Linked DNA regions of Lytechinus pictus. The protein of the gene in region 1 interacts with the protein of each later gene in a biochemical or structural test. Links are inferred from orthologs where the notes say so. Each region holds a gene or a part of one and is shown in the gene's direction. Other genes may lie near its edges.

Evidence for each region.
Region 2: the proteins of leucine-rich repeat serine/threonine-protein kinase 1-like (region 1) and ribosome quality control complex subunit TCF25-like form a complex in vitro, tested with the Homo sapiens proteins (2 studies listed by BioGRID and IntAct, with this or other methods). The link is inferred for Lytechinus pictus from reciprocal best matches to the Homo sapiens genes LRRK1 and TCF25.
Region 3: the proteins of leucine-rich repeat serine/threonine-protein kinase 1-like (region 1) and DNA-directed RNA polymerase II subunit GRINL1A-like form a complex in vitro, tested with the Homo sapiens proteins (2 studies listed by BioGRID and IntAct, with this or other methods). The link is inferred for Lytechinus pictus from reciprocal best matches to the Homo sapiens genes LRRK1 and POLR2M.

The regions. Positions count from the first base shown.
Region 1 is NC_087249.1:24,365,050-24,373,544, forward strand, and holds the start of leucine-rich repeat serine/threonine-protein kinase 1-like, read left to right. Parts: upstream 1-5,138; 5' UTR 5,139-5,227; intron 5,228-8,495. Other genes in the region: uncharacterized protein LOC129261642, read left to right, coding at 1,282-1,357, 2,441-2,637.
Region 2 is NC_087246.1:54,859,842-54,867,566, reverse strand, and holds the start of ribosome quality control complex subunit TCF25-like, read left to right. Parts: upstream 1-4,144; 5' UTR 4,145-4,624; intron 4,625-7,725. UniProt on the Homo sapiens protein: Component of the ribosome quality control complex (RQC), a ribosome-associated complex that mediates ubiquitination and extraction of incompletely synthesized nascent chains for proteasomal degradation.
Region 3 is NC_087249.1:18,275,221-18,283,421, forward strand, and holds the start of DNA-directed RNA polymerase II subunit GRINL1A-like, read left to right. Parts: upstream 1-4,620; 5' UTR 4,621-4,626; coding exon 4,627-4,719; intron 4,720-8,201.

The DNA.
Region 1 (8,495 bases):
GGGGGGGAGGGCACGGGCCGGATGTGACCCCCCCCCCCCCCCCCCCCCCCCCCCCGATCCGCCACTGATGTATTGTATGGTGTTTAATATTAACCAGCTGGATTCATTTCTGGGGAGTGGATATTTTTTCTGTGATTTTCACTGATTCATTTGCTCTGATCCAATCAGAGCAAAGGATTTCAGGAGCTTATTTTTTTCATGAAATTCTCCCCTTGATTCAGCGATAGGCAGGTAGGGCTTGGGAATTCCTCACAGGGAAATCCTACTTCCTCTGAAATACCCACTTTCTATTATGTATTTATAAAACCATGAACTTGGGTGAGGTGCGATCAGTTTCTGCTAGTCAGATTGTCAGGGAAACATACCGAAATATCTTCAGTTTGTGAAAGAAAAAATCTTCAGATTTTATATTTCTACATACAGTGGAATGGTCTGTTGTCATTATTTTTGTAATTTTGTATAACTTTCTATTAGGGGCATTGTTTTATAGTGCATGATTTTCATATGTAATGAAATTGAAATTAATACCGTCAGTAGAATGATTCTGAACAACTTAAATGAATCATCTTGTTTTGTACAGTGCATGTAGTGTATCTCTGTATTTGACTATCAGTGTAATACTATATTGTAATACATAAATATTGTTTTATTCAGTTTGGGTTTCTTCTTCCAACAAAGTACAGGCTGGAAGATTGATGTAAGGAAGAGTGGTAGAGTAATTTACATTAGTATCACCAGAATCATGTTTATCAATCTGAATTTGGAATTCATATCATCTGTGAGGCCGTTCTCATTACGCTTTCTAAAACTAGTTTACTGGAAACCGATTCAGGAAACCACTTTGGAAGATCGCTTTGCTAGCGTTCCCACTTGATCAAACGAAAGTGGTTTTCAAAATCACTTCACGGAAAGCGCTCTTGTTGCAATGGAAACGCTCTCAGTGGGGTGATACCTTTCGCGCGAAATTCGAAACCGCAGCATAGGTATTCTACACATGTCGTGTGGAGTAGCGCGCTCAAAATGTGCGAAGATCGCTTCCTGAAGAACGGTTGTGTCCTCACTTACGCTAAAACCAGTTTAACGAGGCAAAGCGATCTTGAAAACTACATCGCGAGGTGGTTTTCCAAACTGGTTTGGAATATTGCTTCCAAGACCGCTTCGACCGTTCTCACTACGCGTTAAAGTACTAGTTTCCACTAAAGTAGTTTCCAGTATACTAGTTTTAGGAACGTAGTGAGATCAGCCTCTGTGGAACGATACAGTATTTGCTTGATCACACAGGGAAGGAGTGCACTGGAAGTAGCTACTGCTGAGGGTCATCTAAATGTTATCACTAAACTGGTGGAAATGGATGAAGGTAAGTTTTATATCTTTCTCACTGTATAACTTCTAATTTTTCAAGCTAGCAGCTCAGTGTATATTTGGAATCAAGGTTTTTGATGTTGAGACGTTAAACTGATTTCTAACTGGAGAGCTCCATATTATGACCAACAAAAGACAATGAATGCATGGACGTAGCAACACATCTTCTTTGGGACCCCCCCCCCCCCCAGGAAAAAGTTTTAGCTGCCAATTCCAGTAGTCTGAATGATTCCTATACTGTAGAATTAAAGGTCAAGTCCACTCTAGAAAAATGATGATTTGAATCAATAGAGATCGAATGATTATAACTCTGAAAATTTAATCAAATTTGGATATAAAGACATGACATTTCAAAATTTCACTTATTTTTCACAAAACTGTAATATGCACTGTAACTGAGAGTCAACCATGGTCCCTCTTTATTTCTTTTGTGCAACATGGTTTGAATTATAAAATGTTTCAATTTTTACAGATTTGATAGTAATTAGAAACTTGACTGAACAAAAAGATGTTGAAACAATGGTAATTTCAAAAGAAATAAAACTTTGTTTCACATGACAATGAGGTGAAAATTATTATAATTTATTAATATGTCATATAATGAAAAACAAAAGAAAATAAGTGAGTGGATGATGTCATCAGTCACCTCATTTGCATATTGACAAGGATGTAGGGCTGGACTTGTCCGTAAATTACCGTCTTGTGCAACCACCCCTTTATGTGAGGACATTCATCTCTGGACAATTAACTACCCCACACACCAAGCACCCTGAGGACATTATAACCCCCACCCCGCCTACCCGAAAAAAAAACGTGATATTAATGATATTGTTGATAATCCTTGTAGTGATACGGAGGGTGAGGATAATAATCAAGTTATTTTAGGAAGTAGTTGCCCATATAGTATTTGTCATCGAGCATGCTTGTTCTGGGGAAGGGTAGTTGTCTGAGAAGGGGGGGGGGGGTGTCCCGTTTTGTCATAGGGAGTACATGTGTAAGGGTCCTTTTTCCTTAAAGGTGAGTACTGATTCTATTTATCTGTGTTTGCATTTATGAATCTTCATCTCCATGTTTCCAGGACTTCTAGAGGATGTTGCCGAGTTGAAACAGCTTGTCTGCTGTGCCTGTAGAGAAGGGAAGAAGGAAGTGATAGACTACTGGTTGGATCACCTGATAAGACAGAGTCCTAGGCCTGGGCACCTCTTCTCTGAAGAACATGATCCCAATCCGCTTCTATCGGCTTGTCAAGGTATCATATCTTCATTCAGGGGATGAAAAGTTAACGAAAAATATTTTTAGGATTGGGGATGGGTGGTGGAGTTTATTCGTTATCATTCCAAATTGCATTTTTGTTCCATTGCAACTTAAAAATTTGCATTTTAGGCAATTTATTCATAGCCATCATTTATATATTTTTACTACTGGTATGTGGTATTTCATACAAAATTATTAATTGTTTGAAATTTACACAAAATTAGGCATGAAATCTTATGAAAAGAAATCATAGAAGTTATGATTTTGTCTCGCCCACTAGAGGTGAAGGCGAGACTTAGGGATCCAAATGTCGTCCGTTGTCCGTCCGTCACAAACCTTATGACACATAACTCCACAACCGTAAGTCACTTTTCAACCAAACTTGGATGGTAGATGGACTTGGGGGACCTGCATGTTATGCTGCAGTCGGAGGTCACATGGTAAGGTCAAAGGTCATTTTCAGGTCAACGTTAAAGTTTACATGCAAGACTCTCTCATGACACCTAACTCCACAACCAGAAGTCACTTTTCAACCAAACTTGGATGGTAGATGGACTTTGGGGACCTGCATTTTATGCTGCAGTCGGAGGTCATATGGTAAGGTCAAAGGTCATTTTTTCACGTTAAAGTTTACATGCAAGACTCTTATGACACCTAACTCCACAACCAGAAGTCACTTTTCAACCAAACTTGGATGGTAGATGGACTTTGGGGACCTGCATGTTATTATGCAGTCCGAGGTCATATGGTAAGGTCAAAGGTCATTTTTAGGTCAACGTTAAAGTTTACATGCAAGACTCTTATGACACCTAACTCCACAACCGTAAGTTACTTTTCACCCAAACTTGGATGGAAGATGGACTTGGGGGACCTGCGTGTTATGCTGCAGTCGGAGGTCACATGGTAAGGTCAAAGGTCAGTTTCAGGTCAACGTTAAATTTTACATGCAAGACTCTTCTGAGACCTAACTCCGCAACCGTAAGTCACTTTTCAACCAAACCTGGATGGTAGATGTACTTGGGGGACCTGCATGTTATTTTGCAGTCGGAGGTCACATGATAAGGTCAACGGTCATTTTCAGGTCAATGTTAAAGTACAACCAAACTTCGATGGTAGATGTACTTAGGGGACCTGCATGCTATTGTGTTGGGAGGTCACATGGTATGGTCAAAGTTCATTTTGAGGTCAACATTAAAGTTTATGTGCAAGACTCTTATGACAAGTGTTATTCCATCCCAGTCATTTCACAAGGAAGTTTTGATACAATTCTGTTGCGTGCCCTCGCAAATCACTATATTTCTGGTTATTTTCATAAGTGGGCGAGACACAAAATTGCTTTTGCCTTGTATTTGTAATGAGGGTGGGGGTAATAGAAACCCATCAATTAACCAATACTACATTTTAAAAAAGCCCAAAGAAATAAAGCTGTAAAGTTAATGGATTACTGAAATAAAATCAAACTCTATTTAAGCCCCAGTCACATGTAGACACGGATCCTCAAAGATCAACACAGCAATGCCGGTATGAATTACAAAAAAATAAAAAACCCAAACTTCCTTTAACCAGTAAAAACGCTGTTTTAATTTTTTACACAATGCAGTTTACTATTTGTACAGTAGTTGTTAAGTGCTTGAAATCTTACATTACAAAATTTGAATATTTAATCTTAAATAAATAAAGCATGCTTATGTCAAGTGTTTAACAACTACTTGAAAGTTCATAAAGTAAACAGCGTTGTATAAAATTGATATGAAAAAAAAGAACACGGACTGTCAAGGATACTCCAGGCAACCATGCGGACCTACACGGCAACTACACGGACCAACACGGCAGCTACACAGACATCCCAGATTGCTTGTCTACCCGGCAGTCCACGGATGACACCGGACGTTTTTTTTATAGTAAAAAACTGCCATGTTGGCATCCCGGCCGGACATTCAAGGCGCCAACACAGATCTCTCCCCGGACCACCTCGAATCAGATCCGGGGTGGTCTGGGGCCTTTTTTTATGTGACTGGGGCTTTACAGATTATAGTGAAGACAACGTGCTTGATACTGAGGCCATTGCTACATGATTTGGGGTTTTTCATCATTTACGAAATAGTATGTCTCTCCCTTTTCTTTTTCCTTCTTTTTCTCCTATAAAAGTTGCCTGGTTTTTCCCCACTAGCCTTCTCAAGGGTTGCCTAAAGAAAGCTTTCTGCATTAATATTGTTAAAAAATAAATCTGCATTCATCCATAGAGCTATGATTCATCAGTGCTCAGACCTGAAGCTCCTAGGTATGCTCAATGGAAATATGGATGAATGCACATGAAAGGAAGTCTTTTTATGAAATCCTATGTTTAAACATTCCATGAGCCCCACAAATAAAGAGCTAGTGATAAAAATAAACCCCTGGGATTTCCCTTTAGCATTGCAGTGCAAGTACAATAGCAGGCGTGTGTGTAATTTGACCAGAAGGGATTACCATTTTCTACTTTTTTTTATCAAGTAAATGTTAACTCAAAAGGAACAGGTATAAGTTTAGTTGATATCTGACAAGTGTACTTCATGCAGTCTAGATAAAGTTAATGCTGTTTGTATCAGATGACAAATTCTTTACCTTGCAGGTAAGATTTGTGTATGTTCATGGTCATGGAAATGTACGTTATTTATTTGTGTGTGTCTTCCTGGATGTACCCCTCAATATTTGGATCCAAACAATCAAAAGAGGACCAAGGAGTGTGTACTGTTGCTTTTTAATCGTCCTTATTGCTTGAGACTTTGGTGCTGAAGTCGGTAGTTGTCAATGTTTGAGTTCTTGGATGTTTGGGATAATAATCATAATGTAGTATACAAGTATACCAGGCTTTGAGGATGCATAAAAAAAAATTTATCTGTGGTTGGACCGCCAATAACTATTTTTCAGAGAAAAAAAGGATGATATTCCCAGTCCAACCAAGGATGAATAATTTCCTCAATACTTAATAAAGAAACAACAGGTATATTTGGTTTATATCTGTTCTTTATTAAAGTAGATCCCAAAAATTCAGTCCTACTTGATCCATACCCAATCTGGACCAAGATATAGGTCCGTCACTTTGCTTTCATGCCCGAGGAGGGGGGCACACCCATTGACGAGTGGATACCAGGCGCGACCATTTGGTTATGAAATGCATATCCTAAACAAGCATTTTCCATATTTTGAAAACGCATCCCTTAACAAGTAGTATTGCCATGTGAAACCCTACCCTTAACAAGTATTGGAAACAAAACGGTAGCCTTGACAACTAATCCCTGAATTGACCCCCTAAACAGCGATATTTTAATTGTTATGTCATGGACGTCAGCTTTACCTCTACTTTTGTTGGGTTTAGTACCGCCCAATCTCCCACGCCTCTCTCAAATCGGACTCTAAACACATGTTGGGGCAAAAAGTACATCCTTTGTAAAGCATTTCAGTCTGTTTTATACCTTCGCAAATTTGATCGTAAACACATAGCTTTCCTAGCAAAATATGTACACTTTTTTCAGTATTTTAATGTTTTTGACACCCTTATTATGTTACGCGTAACATGCCCTTGAAAACTAGAGATCCTTTTTACGCGTTTCTTTGGTCGCGCCTGGTATCAACTCGTCATAAATGGAAGTGGCCCACCCCCCCCCCCCTTCTGGCTTGCATGCTGACCTACTTCTCTGTCCAAGGGAATCTGATTCGTTTCTAGACCGTTGCATCATGAAAGTTGCGCAGAAGAGACACGTAGTGGTTCAGCATATTTGAGAGATTGCATAATCTGTGACATCAATGATGGAGTAGCTAGTGCATTGATTTCATGTTTCATGGGGCTATTGCCAATAGTGCTGTATTTTTGGTGTCCATCTTATCTGTTTTGGGAGTCATTTGTGGGGACTTTCAGTTCATGTTCAAGAACTTTGCCTGTTATATTTTAAGAATAATACCAAACATAAGATATATGTAAATATGCCATGCAGTGTATGCAAGAAAACTTTTCACTGATTTACTATGCATCATGTATTCCAATCGTGATAAGTTCAAATTGAAACATTTTATAAGTTAAGTAACACTAACAGTGAGAAATAAACTTTCAATTTGCACTAGGCCTATTATTTGTCAATAGTTATTTTTGCAAATTGCTTTCAGATATATTTCATTCAATGTTACCTTTTATAAGTTTCTCCAGTGCCCTTCAAATAATCATAACTCGTAAATTCTGGACTCTGATCTTACACTCATTCTGAATATGGAAATGATATTTTCCTAGTAGCGAAGGTCCGATTGTTATGTTTAGCCTGCTTTATATCAATAGAAAAACTCGCTGTTAGATTTGATACCAGATGTACTGGATTTGATATTTGATTGATTGAACCTTTGGATGTTATTACCAGGTACAACATGGATGTTACTGATGAAAGGTAAGAAAGAAATGACAGTGTATACTTAGTTGTGTTTTGATGTCAGTAGGTTATGGGGGATTTATAATGGCAGAGAGGCAAACAGCCAGACATACTTGGATAAAATTCAAAAGAGATCTCATTTTATACACACTTGTGACAAAATAAAACTGCAAAAATGTACTCTTACATGTATTTGTTCAAAATATTTAAATGAAGCAGAATCACCAATTAATACAGATATTCCCTCCATTTTGTGTTCGGGAACTTCCTTTCAAAACTGGTGCAGCCGTGAGAACATTGAAACACGATACAATTACACGTATGTAATCAAATATTTGTGCAAGGCTTATTCAAACCCCATGTTATGATGATGAAAATAAAATGGAAACCGACATGTATAAATAAAGAATGTCAACTAAACACATTATAAAACTCATATTTATTAAATATGAGTTTTATAATGTGTTTAGTTGACATTCTTGATCCCAATTCAACTTGTTGCTTCAGAATCTTTTATCAATGCACATACGGTAATATAGTTTAAAGGTAAATGTGTAAAGTGTAGGATCTTCAGAATTTCATTGATTCCTTATTACATTCTAATTGACAAATATCATGTCAATTTCCCTATGTAATGTACGGTACTTGAACATAATGTAGCTATGTGCATGTGTGGAGTTTTCATGAAGTATATTGGCTAGAGCTGAACCATTCAGATTCAAAGGTTTGTTTCATGAATGTGCTAAAAGGGATGAACATATTTTGTTAAAAAACAAAATGTCTGGAATACTAGTTTGAGTTTCCTTCAAACAACTATTTTTTAACCTGTTAGAGACTGACTGAGCCAGCATGCATATACACAGGCTAGACTTTATGCACTATAGTGAAGTTTAGCAATATTTTGAGAAAACAGTCATCATGAATATTCATTAGGTGGGCTGATGATGTCACATCCCCACTTTCCGTTTTCTTATGTTATTACATAAAATCTTAATTTTTTCATTATTTCATACTTGTGTGAATAATATGTCTCCCTTATAATGAAATAAGTTGCAGCAATAAATATCCAATGCACTTGTCAATCCAATTTTCCTAGTTCTTGGAGGAAAAAAATTGAATAAACCTAATTTCATATAATAAAATACAAAAGAACAAGTGGGGATGTGACATCAGCCCACCTAATGAATATTCATGACGACTGTATTTGCAAAATATTGCTAAACTTAAAAATTCAATAACTTTGTTATTTGTTATCCGATTTTGATGAAATTTTTTTGGCATTTTGCTCAGTGAATTCTACTCTATTTATTAAGCTATAAATACTTTCAGCCCAGACCATCCCTTTAAGTGTGACTTTTAAGTCACTCTTTACTGTTTGTGAAACAACACTGTGTACTGAGTCATGCAAATCAATTTGATTTCCATTTCGGAAAGAAGAGGGCTTTACAGCCTCTCCATATGTGTTCAGATGTTTATTTTACA
Region 2 (7,725 bases), on another chromosome or scaffold:
GGGTGAGTACATGACACGTAATTTGTAAGAGAACACAAAGAAGAATGCCCCTTTAACCCAGTCTTACCCTATCTCATCCCCTTGCATGTAACAGGTACCATCACATTACTCTGACTCTCACAAGCACACTTGCTAAGATCCACATAACAAACGAAAAATGCTACACTAAAATTACAATTCCTGTTTACTCATGCATTACATTTCAATTTAGTAACTCGTGAAATTTGCTTAAGAAACCAAAACTGATCTCCATTTATCAGTAATTTAGCATAACACCCTTAACTTTGCAAGTTCCAAAGGACTCACCTCTAAAAAAATGGAATTAAGGCTAATTCCTGCTCACCCTAGCAAAGGCTAGTCTCTCAGGAGGGGTGAAAGGGGTAGAGAGAGAGAGAGGGGGGGTTAAGTGTTCTGTTGACCCATATCCCGTCAACCTACTTCCCCCACCTAAGTCCTATCCCTATTCTGACTTCCATGAACACATTGCTGAGATCCACTTAAAAAGTGAAAAATTGTATTTCATGTTCACTCATACATTAAATTTCAATTTAATAATTCTTAAAATTTGCTCTAAAAACCTAAATTGATAATGCTTGATCATTGATTTATCAAAACTTTGCAAGTTCCAAGGGACTCGCATCTCAAAAACTGAAAGAAATTGGAAGGCTAATTCCTGCCCACCCTAATTTTCATACCCTTTGTTTCAGTGGGCAGTGCTCGCTCAAGCATGAAAAGTTTTCCAACTTTTTGGTGTCATTTTAAAGTTGACTTTATAGGCTTCCATGTATGTAAGTGTTTCCCCCCAAAGTGATATATTTTTTATTTGGCAGCCATTTCAAAAGTGTATAGTTTTTTTTGGGACGCACTGTAGAAATAGAATAAAATAAAATTACAAGTTTAAAAAAAAAGATAAGATTTAAAAAAATGGTCCCCGGATTTTTTTTTTTTTTTTTGGGGGGGGGTTGCAACCCCCCCAACCCTCCCTCTAGATCCGCTTCTGGCAATTCTTAGCCTAGATTGGGTAAAATCGTGAATCTTAAATCAGATTGTGACACCGACCTGCTGAGAGCTGACTCAATATGCAGGGGCGCTATTTAGAAAGTAATCGTGTATGAAGATTACACGTAATATACCTTCATTGTCGTTTTTGCTTGTCAAGGTTTTGACATTGTATTGGACACTGTATTTGTTAAAAATGGAAATAAACGAAATGAAATTAAAAAAATATTGTCTGAGACTATATATTTTTATCTAACATTGATATAAACAACTTACAGTTTACCTCTTAAAATCCAATCATGACATCAATTTACAACATAATATATAAAAGGGGCGCTATTTCTAAAGTTATCGTGTACAAAGATTGCACATTACATACTGTCGGAAAGAATTGTTTTGTTGTTGTGCTCAGTGGCAACACCAGGATTTTTTAACATGGGGGGCAAATAAAGGAACATTTTTCGGGGGGGGGGGCACTGAGGCGGACACGATTTTTTTTTTTGCCAGTTTCAAAAAATCGAGAGCGAAGTTTATATAGTTTATATTCTAGTTTAGCATAGGCTAACATCAACTTTTTTCTCACTCGCTTATGTATTATGTAGATCGTGTTAAGTCGGCCTATATTCTAGGCCCCCGCTCACAAGCCTTGCTTCTAAAGGGGTCGATCCTATTCGCCTATGCTATAATCTAATTGATACGTGTTTATGTATTCATATGCATTGTATTTATATTTATTTTGATAATAATGTGTTTTTTTAAATAAATAAACTTGAACTTGAATCATATGGTTGTCAAACTGTTACTATATATGTAAGTGAGAGTGCTCCGGGAAGTTGTTTTCTTTTGTTGATCTGTTCCACACTATGGTTTCACCCAATGGCGTAAATCCGTGTTGATGGGTGGGGGGGGATGACTGAAATATTTTGGCATTTTTTTGTGAACATGTTTTTAGATATGCAAGAAATTGTCATTGATATGTCCACAGTGGGTCACGGCATTGGGGGGGGGGGCACCAGCAAAATTTTTGAATCACTGAGTGAGTGCGCTAGTGAGGGCGCGAAGCGCGCTCAGTTGCCAGTTATACTGACCTAATATAGACATTTTAAGGACAATGTCATTAAACGGATATGTATCTCACTGATCAAATAATGCGAGCACGAAGCGCGAGCTGAATTTTTTTTATATTCACACCTAAAAAGGGACATTATAATCAAATTTGTGTAATCATGATAGGAACCTGTCTCGCTAAACAATGCGAACGCGAAGCGCGAGCTGAAAACTTAGATAATTCAGACCTGAAGTGGGGCATTCTAAGGTTTCTTTGTAGGAATTAACTAGGACCATACGTATTTCATTAACCAAACGATGCGAGCGCGAAGCGCGAGCTGAAAAAAATTTTTATATTCAGATCAGAAGAAGGGACATTTTAAGGACTGATTTTAGGAATTTATGAAGAGCAGACATATATCTCACCAATCCACTAATGCGAACGTAATCACGGACAGGAAATGTTTCATATAAGACCTTAACATGGGGCAATCACTTTTTGAGTCATGAAAAAGAAGCATATGTCACTACATAAAACAATGATAACTCAAGTGCTAGGAAATATATTTGGTTTATATTGACTTGAAAACGGGATGTTTTAGTACAACAGGATTATATATTTCGTTAAACAGACAATGCGAGCACCAGGAACAATGAAGACGTAGGCGCTGGGCAAATTATGTTTCATAAAGTTATGATAAAAATGTTTCTTATGTAATGTAACATAACATAATTATAATATGATATAACATTATAATGAATAATATTTTCTTCTTTCCCAATACGTTTCTCTCCCTCTTTTCTCCTTTCCCCCTTTTTTTTTGGACAGCCGATGGGGGGATGTGCCCCCCATGCCCCCCGTAGTTACGCCACTGTATGTCCATATGGCAAATACCCCTCCAATATTATTATCTTTTTTACCCCATGATGGTTTAATGGTTTTATTAGAGATTACATTCAAAATTTTTTGACATTCCATCTTAATCCCTTCCCGAAGACCCCAACATTGATGAATTGGAAGAAACGGGGGTTTCTCTTCAATGTTATAATAAGGACATAAGTATTTCGTTTGGAAATGGTGAACTGGCTCTTTATTTGCATTTTATGATTCAATAATATTATTTTATTTGTTAAGCGGTATTATAGGAAGAATTTTCACCAATAAAACAATTATCTCTTGTGATTTTTTTTCATTTCTTTCGTAAAAAGTGGGGGGGGGGGATGTTTGTACAGGCCAGGCCATCCCCCCCTCCTCGAAAAGTGGGGGGGGGGGTGGATATATCCCCCCCCCCCCCATCCCCCCGGGATTTACGCCAGTGGTTTCACCAAATTCAGAACAGAAGCATCTACTCTACCATTTGGTTGTGTGAACTTTCTTTAAACATATTACCATACCTTTTAAAAGTTGTCTCGCATGCATTTCATGTACCGGTATTACCAAACATAAAGCTAGAACTGGAACTAAGTTGAGCATTATTTGCCCCGGGGCAAGCCCATGAGGCCGAGGGTCCGCGAGGCCGATTTTTAAAGTGTATTTTCTTTCACTAGGATTTTTTTTTTCAATCAGTGGAAAAGTTTCAGCTTAGCATATTCTCTATTGAAAACTTAAATATAATCTTATAATGTAAAGGTTTGGTAAATCGGGACAACATGATTTATGCTCGAGTATATCTCACCCATCATTAATGTAGCTGGTGAGTCTCTTTTCAGCCGTTTATTCATTGTAAAAATCTGAAACTTGAGTTTTAAACATTTTGTTATATTGTTATTATTTCTCACTTGTGTTTCTTTTCTTGGAATGTAGATTTTAATTATTTCATTTGAAAACAGCAAGATTTGGAAATTGATAAAGTCAAATATACCATATTGTCCAGAACGATCAGAAACTTATTATAAAAATGACATTTGAACTGTCAAATTCTGGACTTAGATTATAATCTAAAGATTAGAATTTAGATTATTTGAGACAATGCCGAATGTTTCAATCTGGATTTGTCATTAAACTAATGAAATTTTCATTTAAAAAGTCTTCATCATATATAGCATGCCTTGAACTTGCGGTCTTGAAATAACTTTCGCTATTGCCTATTAATTATTTGCGACTCAGTTGATTAATATCGATGAAGACAAACATCCTGATTAAAGAAAATATAGCTCAGTCGGTAGAGCGGGGGTTTCGGATTCCGGTGACCCGGGTTCGATTCCAAATTGTGCGCTATAACCTATAGTGCCCTTTGCCTTTGGTAAGGCATTTATCCTCATTACCAGGTTACTCGGAGAGGACCTTAAGCCGTTGGTCCCCTCACTCCCCTGGGTACTTGCTCACAGGCCTTCGTGCTTTCTTAGCAGTCAGGTATAACCTCGGTATGATAAGAAAAGTCGGCCCGCAGACCCTCGGCCTCATGGACCCTCGCGCGGCCTCGGCCTCGTGGACGCTCGTCCTCGTGAAACGGTCGGCCTCGTCGTGAGAAGACCATTATCGTCACATTGAGACTGCCTGTTTAGATGGTCAAAAGGCAGAATTATTAAGTACTTTTCTTGGATACCAGTACATTGAGAACGACCAGTTGTGTGCAAAGTAGGTGATGATTAATATTTTGAAAGGTTTTGTTCGATTATTCCAACGATTTGATGTGTTTAGTTCGTTGTTTCTTTACTTCGGTCCCACATGGCTCGGATTGTGTAGTGTACTATAGTGTAGTTAGTAACATTGACATTGTTAAACGCGTGTGGAGGTATAGACTATAGACTATAGTCACGTATTGTAATTGTATGACCGGACACTATTATGATTCTGGACGCGCATATTACTGCGTACGAAAACAATTTCATTTTCAAACTGCATGACTTTCGCAGTTAAATTTCACAGAGCAATCCAATAGGCAATACATAGTCATAGAACAAGAATAAAAAACAAGGCAAAAAAAAACTACATTATTTATCTTTTAAATTACAGAAAATGCTTAAAATATCATATAACATAGTTTTGCATTAACAATCAAATTATGTTCTGATGGAAATATGGGCCTGATTTGATGATTTGCCGAATTTCAATCTCGTCCGCTCCTTCGATCGAATGTTGAGCCTGGTGTATTGTGGGTGCATCGACGGCTAGTTCTCAATTAAAGGAGAATGAAACTCTTGGAGCAAGTTAGCTTTTGTGAAAGCAGAAAAATCAAAGAATAAGATCAACAAAACTTTGAGTAAAATAGGACTAGCAATAAAAGAGTTATGAGCATTTGAATGTCGAGATCACTAATGCTATGGAGATCCTCCTATTGGCAATGCGACCAAGATCTGTGATGTCACACACGTACAACTCTCCCATTTGGACACTGAAAATATACCCCAAAACATCTTTTTGCTCATTCTAATCATATGACAAACGATTCATCAATGATATAATGTTGTGAAACCTCTGTACTTGTCATCTCATAAAGAGAACACCTCACCTTGTGATAGACTCTATAAAAGTGAGAATATACGTGAAATAAGTACTAAAGTAATGAGGGAGTTGTACGTGTGTGATATCACAGATCTTGGTCGCATTGCCGATGGGAGGATCTACATGGCACTAGTGATCTCAATATTCAAATGCTCATAACTTTCTTATCATTCATTCAATCTTCCTCAAACTTTCAACAATATGTTTCTTTGATTTTTCTCTTTGATATGGATTCAGCTGGTTTCAAGGGTTTCATTCTCCTTTAAGGTACCCGTGCGCGAGGTTTACCGTGATTAGAGCCGTCGACGATCGACAGCGCATCGATAGAACTTGATGAGCGTCATACGATATGAACGAGCATAATATTGGAAAGTGCCATGGAACATGCAGTAAAAAAGAAAAAAAAATAGCAAACACAAATTTATTACCAACATCTGCTCACATTCGATATAAAAAAGCAAACGAAAACTTAAAATTTACTCATGATAACATATATGAAGAAAATATCATATAAATTCTTTCTTACATCATTACAATCAAGAATATCTTTACCCGTCCGGCGCGCGTCCGGAATCATGATGTAATTTGCCGTGCACAAAAATAATTGTTTTTCGCGGAGGGGTATGAGGCAAGTGCGATGCAAAGGTAACGGTTGGTAAATGTAAAATAATTTTATCATATTCATAATTTTCATAATATTTGGAATAGCAAGTGCGAATTTTTCTTGATTGTATTTCCTCTAGTTGTAATTTTTAAAGCATTGAAATAAAGGTGTCCGGCAATAGGATACACTGCCATATATGTGTATGTATGCACCAAAAATTTGATTTGAGATTCTTCTTCTCTTGTAATTTTCAAAGGGATCTGCATCCTATCACAAAGTAAAATCAAACTTGAAATATTGCATGCACTGGATGAGGTGAGAGGAATAGTTTTGCATCTGTGGTCGTGTGAAAGTACTAGAAAAGCGAGAGATACATACTTATCAGTGCATGTCACTCATTCAATGAACAAGGTTATGAATCTGATATAACCTCATTCTCTGTTACTACTCCATGTGTGGCAAAATAATAAGGTTGGCAAGGTTTGGCATATTTTCTCTTTTTCTTTTGGACAAATGCTTGATTTTTTGACATTGTCAGTTTCCATTACAGCTTTTTATCATATAACTTGGCTCTTAAGTAATTTTGATTCTTTTAATTATTTTATCTCTAAATTAAAGACAGAGATTGAAAAACGATAATTTTCTTGCCATATTAATTTCCACCAATAGAGGACGTACACAAAAATATGCCCAACATTTTTTAGCGCTCTGGTGAATACAGAAATTATTCCCAAAATACTGATGAAAAACAAATTGCAAATGTATGGAAATTAATATTTTTGGTCACAAAAGTGATATCTTAATGATTTTTCAAAGTGTGTGTTGTGTATTGCATAGGCATACCCCATAGTCCTACCTGTAGATTCCCCACAGGCAGGATGGTTGCAGTGACCAAGTGGTGCATGTCAAATTGACATGAGACTACTTCTTCCGCATACATTCGTAATTCCGAAGCTTCGTTATTCCGAAGGTTCGTATATTCCGAAGGTTCGTTATTCCGAAGGTTCGTTTTTCCGAAGGTTCGTAATTCCGAAGGTTCGTTAATCCGAAAACGAAATGAGGTTCGTAATTCCGAAGGTTCGTTAGTCCGAAAACTAAATGATTAACGAGCCATATTTCGTTTTCGGACTAACGAACCTTCGGAACAACAAACCTTATTTTGTTTTCGGATTAACGAACCTTCGGAACAACGAACCTTATTTCGTTTTCGGATTAACGAACCTTTGGAACATCGAACCTTATTTCGTTTTTGGATTATCGAACCTTCGGAATAACGAACCTTCGGAATAACGCCACAAATGTTCGGATTAACGAACCCTTTTACATTTTCGGATTAACGAACATCGAGGTATATTAAATAGGCAATTTACGTGTTTCGGAATTATGAGCCTTCGGAATAAAGAACCTTCGGAATTACGAAGTGTAACCACTTCTTCAATCTTTGTCTGGGAGTTTGTTCCTATCAGGGAAGGATCTTTGGGCAAGAATAAACCTGAATTTCTCTAATATTCTACAAAAGTTTATGGATACTGTTCCTTATAATTCATATTCTGCATAATAATAATATTCCACATTTATATAGCGCTTAATACATCGGAACGACGTCTCTAAGCGCTTTACAGACATATCA
Region 3 (8,201 bases), about 6.1 Mb from region 1:
AATGGGAGATCAAGGAGATACTCGGTAGGGGGTATCGATGTTTACTCTATGGATTTCTCCCCTTTCTTTTTTTTTTCTTTGAATATATCCCACTAGATCCGTCCTTCAATTATCCTCTCTGTTGAACATAGTGTTTACAGCTTGAAACAGAATAAAAAAAACATCACTTTTTTATCAGCTAGGCTTTCATCTGTAATATTAAAATATTGTTATTCAGTTTTCCAGAGATGTTTTAAGTTAAAAGAAGATGGAACTGTGGGGGAGGGGTGGCACTTTTCAGTAAAAATACACAAACGTGAAAATGATGATCAAATTGTTACTTTATGTACAGTCACCCCCTTCCAGTTTTAAATTCGTTCCGCGGCCCCTGTTTCTCGTGATCGCTAGTGGGTAAGGAAAGCAATATACAGCCTTTTGACAGGCCATATATATAGCAGCTGGTTACCGGTACGGTATTCATTTCCATTTTCAATTTTAACCAGTTTTGAGGAACACCATACATGTACTTGTCAGTTGTTGGCCGCGCGCGCGTTTCCGTTTTACACCCTGGCGAAGGCATTTTCCGGAAAAATAGCCACAAAGCGACTAGTGAAGAGTCTACGTCTACGTTTGTTTACATAATCAGCTGGGCGCGATCCAAAAGTCCGCACCGAAGATATCCTAGAACATACGTGCAAATGCAGCTGAGCTTATAGACCAAAAGCTTCAGTCTCTGTATTTTGGTTGTTCCGCTGAACTATATACGTTGGCTTCATGATTTTTTTTACTATCGCACATGATCGTTTATATGAATGAAAACGAATAATAGCTAAAATATTGAAAAGTAAAACACATAATTACTTTTTTTCATATTATATCTATCCTTATATCTATCATATCTGTCTATCCACTATCTGTTAATTTGTCTATCTACTCTGTCTCTCTCATTCTCTATCTACCTATCTATCTGTCTATCTATCTATCCATCTAACATCTATCTCTCAAATTCTCTATCTATCCATCTGTCTCTCTTTTATTTCTCTCTATCCATCTGTTAATCTACTCATGTGCAATATCAACACTGCTTCGACTTCCTTCGGGAGTCTATTTCCTCAGCTCTACTTTTCCCTTTTTTGTGCTCAATTCGATTCAATTACTACTTTATTTACTTGTTACCATTGTTAAATGTCTTGTATTGCATAATGAGTTTTTTTTTCTTCTGAAGGTTGCCTCCTATTCTCTTTCAAATTCCACCTCTTGCTTTCCCTTCTCTTTGTCTTATCCCAATTTCTTTCCCTTCTCTCACCTCTTTCTTCTTAATCTTTCATTCCGCTTTTTTTTCTTTGGTGACACTTTACTTTTGGCCTTTTGTATTTATTTATGATACATTTCTTTTTTATCTGTATGAATTTGTATTGTATTTGATATTTATTTATAAAGTTTACTTTATATTTTGTAATGATTCTATTTGTATGTAAACATTCACTTATTTCAGTCTTTGACTGCTTGTGATTGTATTTTGATAGTTTTTATTGCAATAAAATCCAATATATATATATATATATATATATATATATATATATATATATATATATATATATATATATCTCAAATTCTCTCTATCTATCCATCTGTCTGTCTTTTTCTCTCTCTCTGTTTCTCTCTATCCGTCTATCTATCTCTCGAATTCTCTCTATCCATCTGTCTGTCTGTCTCTCAAATTCTCTCTCTCTATCTATCTATCCATCTGTCTGTCTTTTTCTCTCTATCCGTCTATGTATCTATCTCTCAAATTATATATCTATCTATTTATGTGACTACAGTATCTATCTATTAATCTTCCCTGTCTCTCTCTCTCTATATATATATATCTATCCATCTCTATTTCTCTAGTTCTCTCTCTCTCTATCAATCTATCTATCTATCTTCTATCTATCTATATGTAACTGCAGTATCTATCGATAATTTGTCGCTCTTCTCTGTCTCTCTCATTCTTTATCTATCTAACATCTATCTATCTCTCAAATTCTCTATCTCTCTCTCCCCCTCTCTCTATCTATCTATCCATCTTTCTGTCTTTCTCTCTCTATCTATCTTCTATCTATTTATTTATCTATCTCTCAAATTCTATCTCTATCTATCTATGTAACTACAGTATCTATCTATCTGTTAATCTTCTCTGTCTCTCACATTCTTTATCTATCTATCTCTCTCTATATCTCTCCCTCTATCTATCTATCTATCTATCTATCTATCTATCTATCTATCTATCTATCTATCTATCTATCTATCCATCTGTCTTGTTTTCTCTCTTTCCCTATTTCTCTTTTTCCGTCCATATATATCTATCTATCTATAACATCTCTCCCTCTCTCAAGTTCTCTCCCCATCTATCTATCTATCTATCTATCTTCTATCTATTTATCTATCTATGTAACTACTGTATCTATCTATCTGTTAATTTGTATATCTTCTCTGTCTCTCTCATTCTTTATCTATCTATCCATCTAACATCTACCTATCTCTCAAATTCTCTATCTCTCTCTCTCTCTCCCTCTCTCTATCTATCTATCCATCTGTCTGTCTTTCTCTATTTCTCTCTATCTATCTATCTTCTGTCTATCTATCTCTCGAATTTTCTCTATCCATCTGTCTGTCTGTCTCTCAAATTCTCTCTATCTATCTATCCATCTGTCTGTCTTTTTCTCTCTATCCGTCTATGTATCTATCTCTCAAATTATAAATCTATCTATCTATCTATTTATGTAACTACAGTATCTATCTATTAATCTTCTCTGTCTCTCTCTCTCTCTATCTATCCATCTGTATTTCTCTAGTTCTCTCTCTCTCTATCAATCTATCTATCTATCTTCTATCTATCTATCTATGTAACTACAGTATCTATCTATCTGTTAATTTGTCTATCTTCTCTGTCTCTCTCATTCTTTATCTATCTATCTATCTATCTATCTATCTATCTATCTATCTATCTATCTATCTATCTATCTATCTATCTATTTATCTATCTATCTATCTATATATCTATCTAAAATCTATCTATCTTTCAAATTCTCTATCTCTCTCTCCCTCTATCTATCTATCCATCTGTCTGTCTTTTTTTCTCTCTCTTTCTCTATTTCTCTTTTTCCGTCCATATACAGTATATCTATCTATCTATAACATCTCTCCATCTCTCAAGTTCTCTCCCCCATCTATCTATCTATCTATCTATCTATCTATCTATCTATCTATCTATCTATCTATCTATCTATCTATCTATCTATCTATCTATCTATCTATCTATCTATCTATCTATCTATCTATCTATCTATCTTATCTATCTATCTATCTATCTATCTATCTATCTTTTATCTATTTATCTTTTTCTCTCTCTCTGTTTCTCTCTATCCGTCTATCTATCTCTCGAATTTTCTCTATCCATCTGTCTGTCTGTCTCTCAAATTCTCTCTATCTATCTATCCATCTGTCTGTCTTTTTCTCTCTATCCGTCTATGTATCTATCTCTCAAATTATAAATCTATCTATCTATCTATTTATGTAACTACAGTATCTATCTATTAATCTTCTCTGTCTCTCTCTCTCTCTATCTATCCATCTGTATTTCTCTAGTTCTCTCTCTCTCTATCAATCTATCTATCTATCTTCTATCTATCTATCTATCTATCTATATGTAACTACAGTATCTATCTATCTGTTGATTTATCTATCTTCTCTGTCTCTCTCATTCTTTATCTATCTATCTATCTATCTATCTATCTAACATGTACCTATCTCTCAAATTCTCTCTCTCTCTCTCCCCACCCCCTCTATCTATCTATCCATCTGTCTGTCTTTCTCTATTTCTCTCTATCTATCTTCTATCTATCTATTTATCTAGCTATCTATGTAACTACAGTTTCTATTTATCTGTTAATTTGTCTATCTTCTCTGTCTCTCTCATTCTTTATCTATCTATCTAACATCTATCTCACAGATTCTCTCTATCTCTCTCTATCTATCCATCTGTCTGTCTTTTTTTCTCTCTCTCTGTTTATTTTTATCCGTCCATATATCTATCTATCTATCTATCTATCTATAACATCTCTCCATCTCTCAAGTTCTCTCCCCCCATCTATCTATCTATCTATCTATCTATCTATCTATCTATCTATCTATCTATCTATCTATCTATCTATCTATCTATCTATCTATCTATCTATCCATCTCTCTGTCTTTCTCTCTCTCTCTCTACTTCTATCTATCTATGTCTCTATCTATTTATCAGTCTTATATCTATCTTTCGGCATCTAAGTGTATCAATCCATCAAACTTCAATTTTCTTTCTATTATATGTATCTGTTTATTTTTATTTTGTCTGTCATTCTATTCATTTAGTTAATAATTTATATTTAGAAAAATAAACTTTTTCATAGCTTTTCATAAAAAAAACGTAACTGCAAAAGCATGTTCGGATTTCACTCATATGACTGCTCTCTGAACATGAAGTGCCGAGGAACTCTATGCTTTGATCAGTAACTGTGCAGATTGCATGCGGTGGTGTGGGGCTCGCCTGAGTCGCACGCTGCAACCAGCGACGTGTACTGTGTAGACTCTTCACTAGTCGCTTTGTGGCTATTTTTGCGGAAAATGCCTTCGCCAGGGTGTAAAACGGAAACGCGCAGGTGTGAAAACGTTACTTTAAATCCGAGAAATCTGATTTATTACAAGGATAATATCAAGGTAAAACATTATGATGAAGAAAAAGAGTATTGTAAAATCTAAATAATCTAAAAATCTAGATTTTGATAGAGTGTTTTGTCGGCAATAATGAAGACAAATCGAGTGACCTCTTTCGATATCTTTCTTTCAGTCCCGTGCGTGCCTTTTCGTGAAAGTGAAATGTTTAGCTATCACACAGCCGGTTCGAGAATAAATTGAGACTTTCTCGTAGTCGTAATCGTATAGTGAGTGATTGTATTACCGACCGGCCTTGTATTACCGAACGTGCGCATCATACACATCAGAAAATAATTCCATATGCTCAAAATTTTGCAACATCCTTTCAAAGAGAACTTGAACATGTTGAATAGAACACTCTAGGCCTAGGCGACACCCCAATACTTACCTGTGCTAATAAACTGGGACTCCACTCACGCGCATTTGGGCCGCCCTAGCTTAGAACTAAGCTTTGTTTTACTAAAAAATAAATCTTGTAATGATTCAATAAATGTTACTTAATAAATTAGTACTGTTAAATCGGTACTCACCGGTTCTTTTCTTGAATTTTCTGGCAATTTCCCACGCTTCTGGCTTCAATTCTGCGGCTGTTCCTGTCGCGGTAGACAGCTACATATGCAGCTTTATTTATAAATAGAGCGCCCCTTACGATAGTTGTTAAGAACGCGGCCAAATTGTTAGGTTTTTTGCACTGTGTCCAAGGCGTTTTTATTTTGTTTGATTTTTTATTTTTTAATAAATATTTTGTTAAATAGCGATTTTTACGTCAAATATTAAATTCATATCACAAAATATTTTTAATTGTAGAAATATATAATATCATGCAATTTTTTATTCTATATATATTTTATAATAAAATTTATAATTGTTGCGGTCTTTAAAAAAGGATAGTCGATCGATCAGGTGATGACTACTCGTATCACGTGATCTGAAAATCAGCTTCGTACCGCTTTGATCGCACTCGACGGGACCGGACTGACTGCCAAGAAAAGATCGAAAAAGGACTCAAATGTAAGTTTCCCTTTATTTTATAACATTTAAAATATGAGTAGGATTATAGTTAATGGGTAATTTTTTAATAAATGCTAAACAAATGAGGACAAAGCTTGCATTTTTCGAGTAATAATCACGAATATCATAAAAATACTTGGGTGCAGGACTTCTAACCTGTTTTTAACGCATTGTCGCCTATGAGGTCCATACATGTTAATGTTTGGACCTCATTGGTACTACTACTAGGAGTGGAATAGAAAGATGAAAAATTGTCAAATTTACTCAAAAACACATTTTCAAATCAAAGCTTTGGACTTTTGGTCTCTGTTAATGTTATAATTTTATTGATTGTTCCGCTGAACTCCGGTGGCGGTGGCTCCAGGCATCACCAATTACACTTAACTTTGTTACAGAGACCGAAGTTCTACCTCGATCTGTACAGGGACTCCATCATGATCATGGACATGGCCATATGTTTATGTATTAAGTTAGGATAAACCAGGGAAGTGAGAGTTGCGCGACAGCCGTAGTAAGTGACTGTTTTTCTCCTTTTAAGTTTATTTTTTCCTGTGTAGGAGCATTTCAGGCCAAAATGGAATAACAATCTTTAATTTATTTTGGTCCAGTTCGTTTTATATATTTTTATGAAATAAAGACAAAAATCGATGAGCCCTGTCGGGGGCACTCCTAGTACCAATGAGGTCCAAACGGGGAGTTTGCATTGTTAACCCCCTAAATAGGCCTAATGCCAATGGCGGCTGCACGATTGCGAGCCGTCTGTGTACGAGGAGAAATTTAAAAAAACAAAAATGTTTAAAAACTCCTTGAAACTGACGGCTGCCAGCTGTCTAAGCCAGGCACAGCCCAAAAAAGAAACAAGTAGTCTTGAGGGGGAGCATATAATCTCTACTTTAGAAATTAACATTAAACATGAATTTTGTTAATTTCCACAAAATCAATGACCATGTTGAGCCTTTTTGCAATATTTTCTGTTCTAAAATTTGTCTTTTTACAATTGCATTCAATGGGGTATGTTGACATTGTTGAGGGTAGGAAATGAATATTCATGATGAAGAGATAGGGGAATTCCGATACAGAGGATAGGGCGCATGTGCGGAGCGCGAAAAAGGGGATTTCCCCTATCTCTGTCCTGAATATTCAATTCCTAGCCTCGGTATCAGTCGGTCATTATTTTTGTTTGCAATTTTCAGTAGAGGCTCACGGCCAATATGGGAGACTCTCCAATATGGGAATCTCCCATATCAGAGACTTGCTTTGCTGAAGGACAAAAGAAACAACACCAACAAGAACATTATTTTTGAATGAATGAATGAATCTTTATTTCGTTTCAATTCCAATATCAAGCAACAACAATAAGTAAATAACAACAGTAGATTATTGGGATACAAGTAAATAGCAAAGAACAATAGTAAATAATTACAGGATAATATACATAATACATGCACTACTTTTTATGGAACATTAATAACACCCATGAGAACAGACGGAAATGAAACGTGGTGACCTACTAAGAAGCTTAGCTTGTGGGCCATAGGCCACCAGAATGTTAAAAAAATTATATTAGCAATCATTTTAAAACATCATAGAACAAGCAAACAAAAAATTTGAGTAAATAACCAAAGTACAGATATACATATTTACAAAAGATACACTAAAAAGTAACAAAAAGGTGAAATGCAGAATGCAAACATTCTATTAGACCTAAAGTATAAGAATCTAAAATTCAAAAAGAAGAAAGAAAAGATGAAAATATAAAGAAAATAGGCAGAGCTCTATTTTTGCATAGATAATTGTGGGAAGAATACAATTTATAAAGTTAGACGAGATATAACAAGCAGGCATTCGTTTACTGATTTAAGTATTTCTTCAGTAAATCGGTCTTTAACTTGTTTCTAAAAACACTAAGGCTAACTTTTTTCTTCAGTGAAGAAGGAAGGGAGTTCCATAATTTTGGCCCTGTATAAACGAATGTATTTAGCCGAAAACTAGTTTTGACCAATGGCAAGTGGAGAAAAGAAACTTGTCTTGTATAGTAAGAATGGATTTGGTCATTTCTAACACATAATGAATCAAGGGCAAGTGGAAGTTCTCTTTTATTTAATTGATACATAATGCAACCAAGGTTGAGATCAAATATGTCATGTAAATTAAGGAACTTGTTTTCATAAAACAAAATATTTGTGTGAGATCGTGAACTTACTCCACATACTAGTCTAATTACCCTTTTCTGGACTTTAAATAACCCATCTAAATGAACTTTAGCAGCGTTACCCCAGGCAAGGATGCAATAATTCAAGTAAGGCAAAATGAGAGTTGAGTACAACATGCATAAAATATTTTTTGGGAATATACTCTTCAATGAATTAATGACTCCTGAATTTCTGGAAAGAAGTTTACATAAATAAGATATGTGAACTTTCCAATTCAGCTTACTATCAATGTGTACCCCAAGGAATTTTGTACTCAAGACT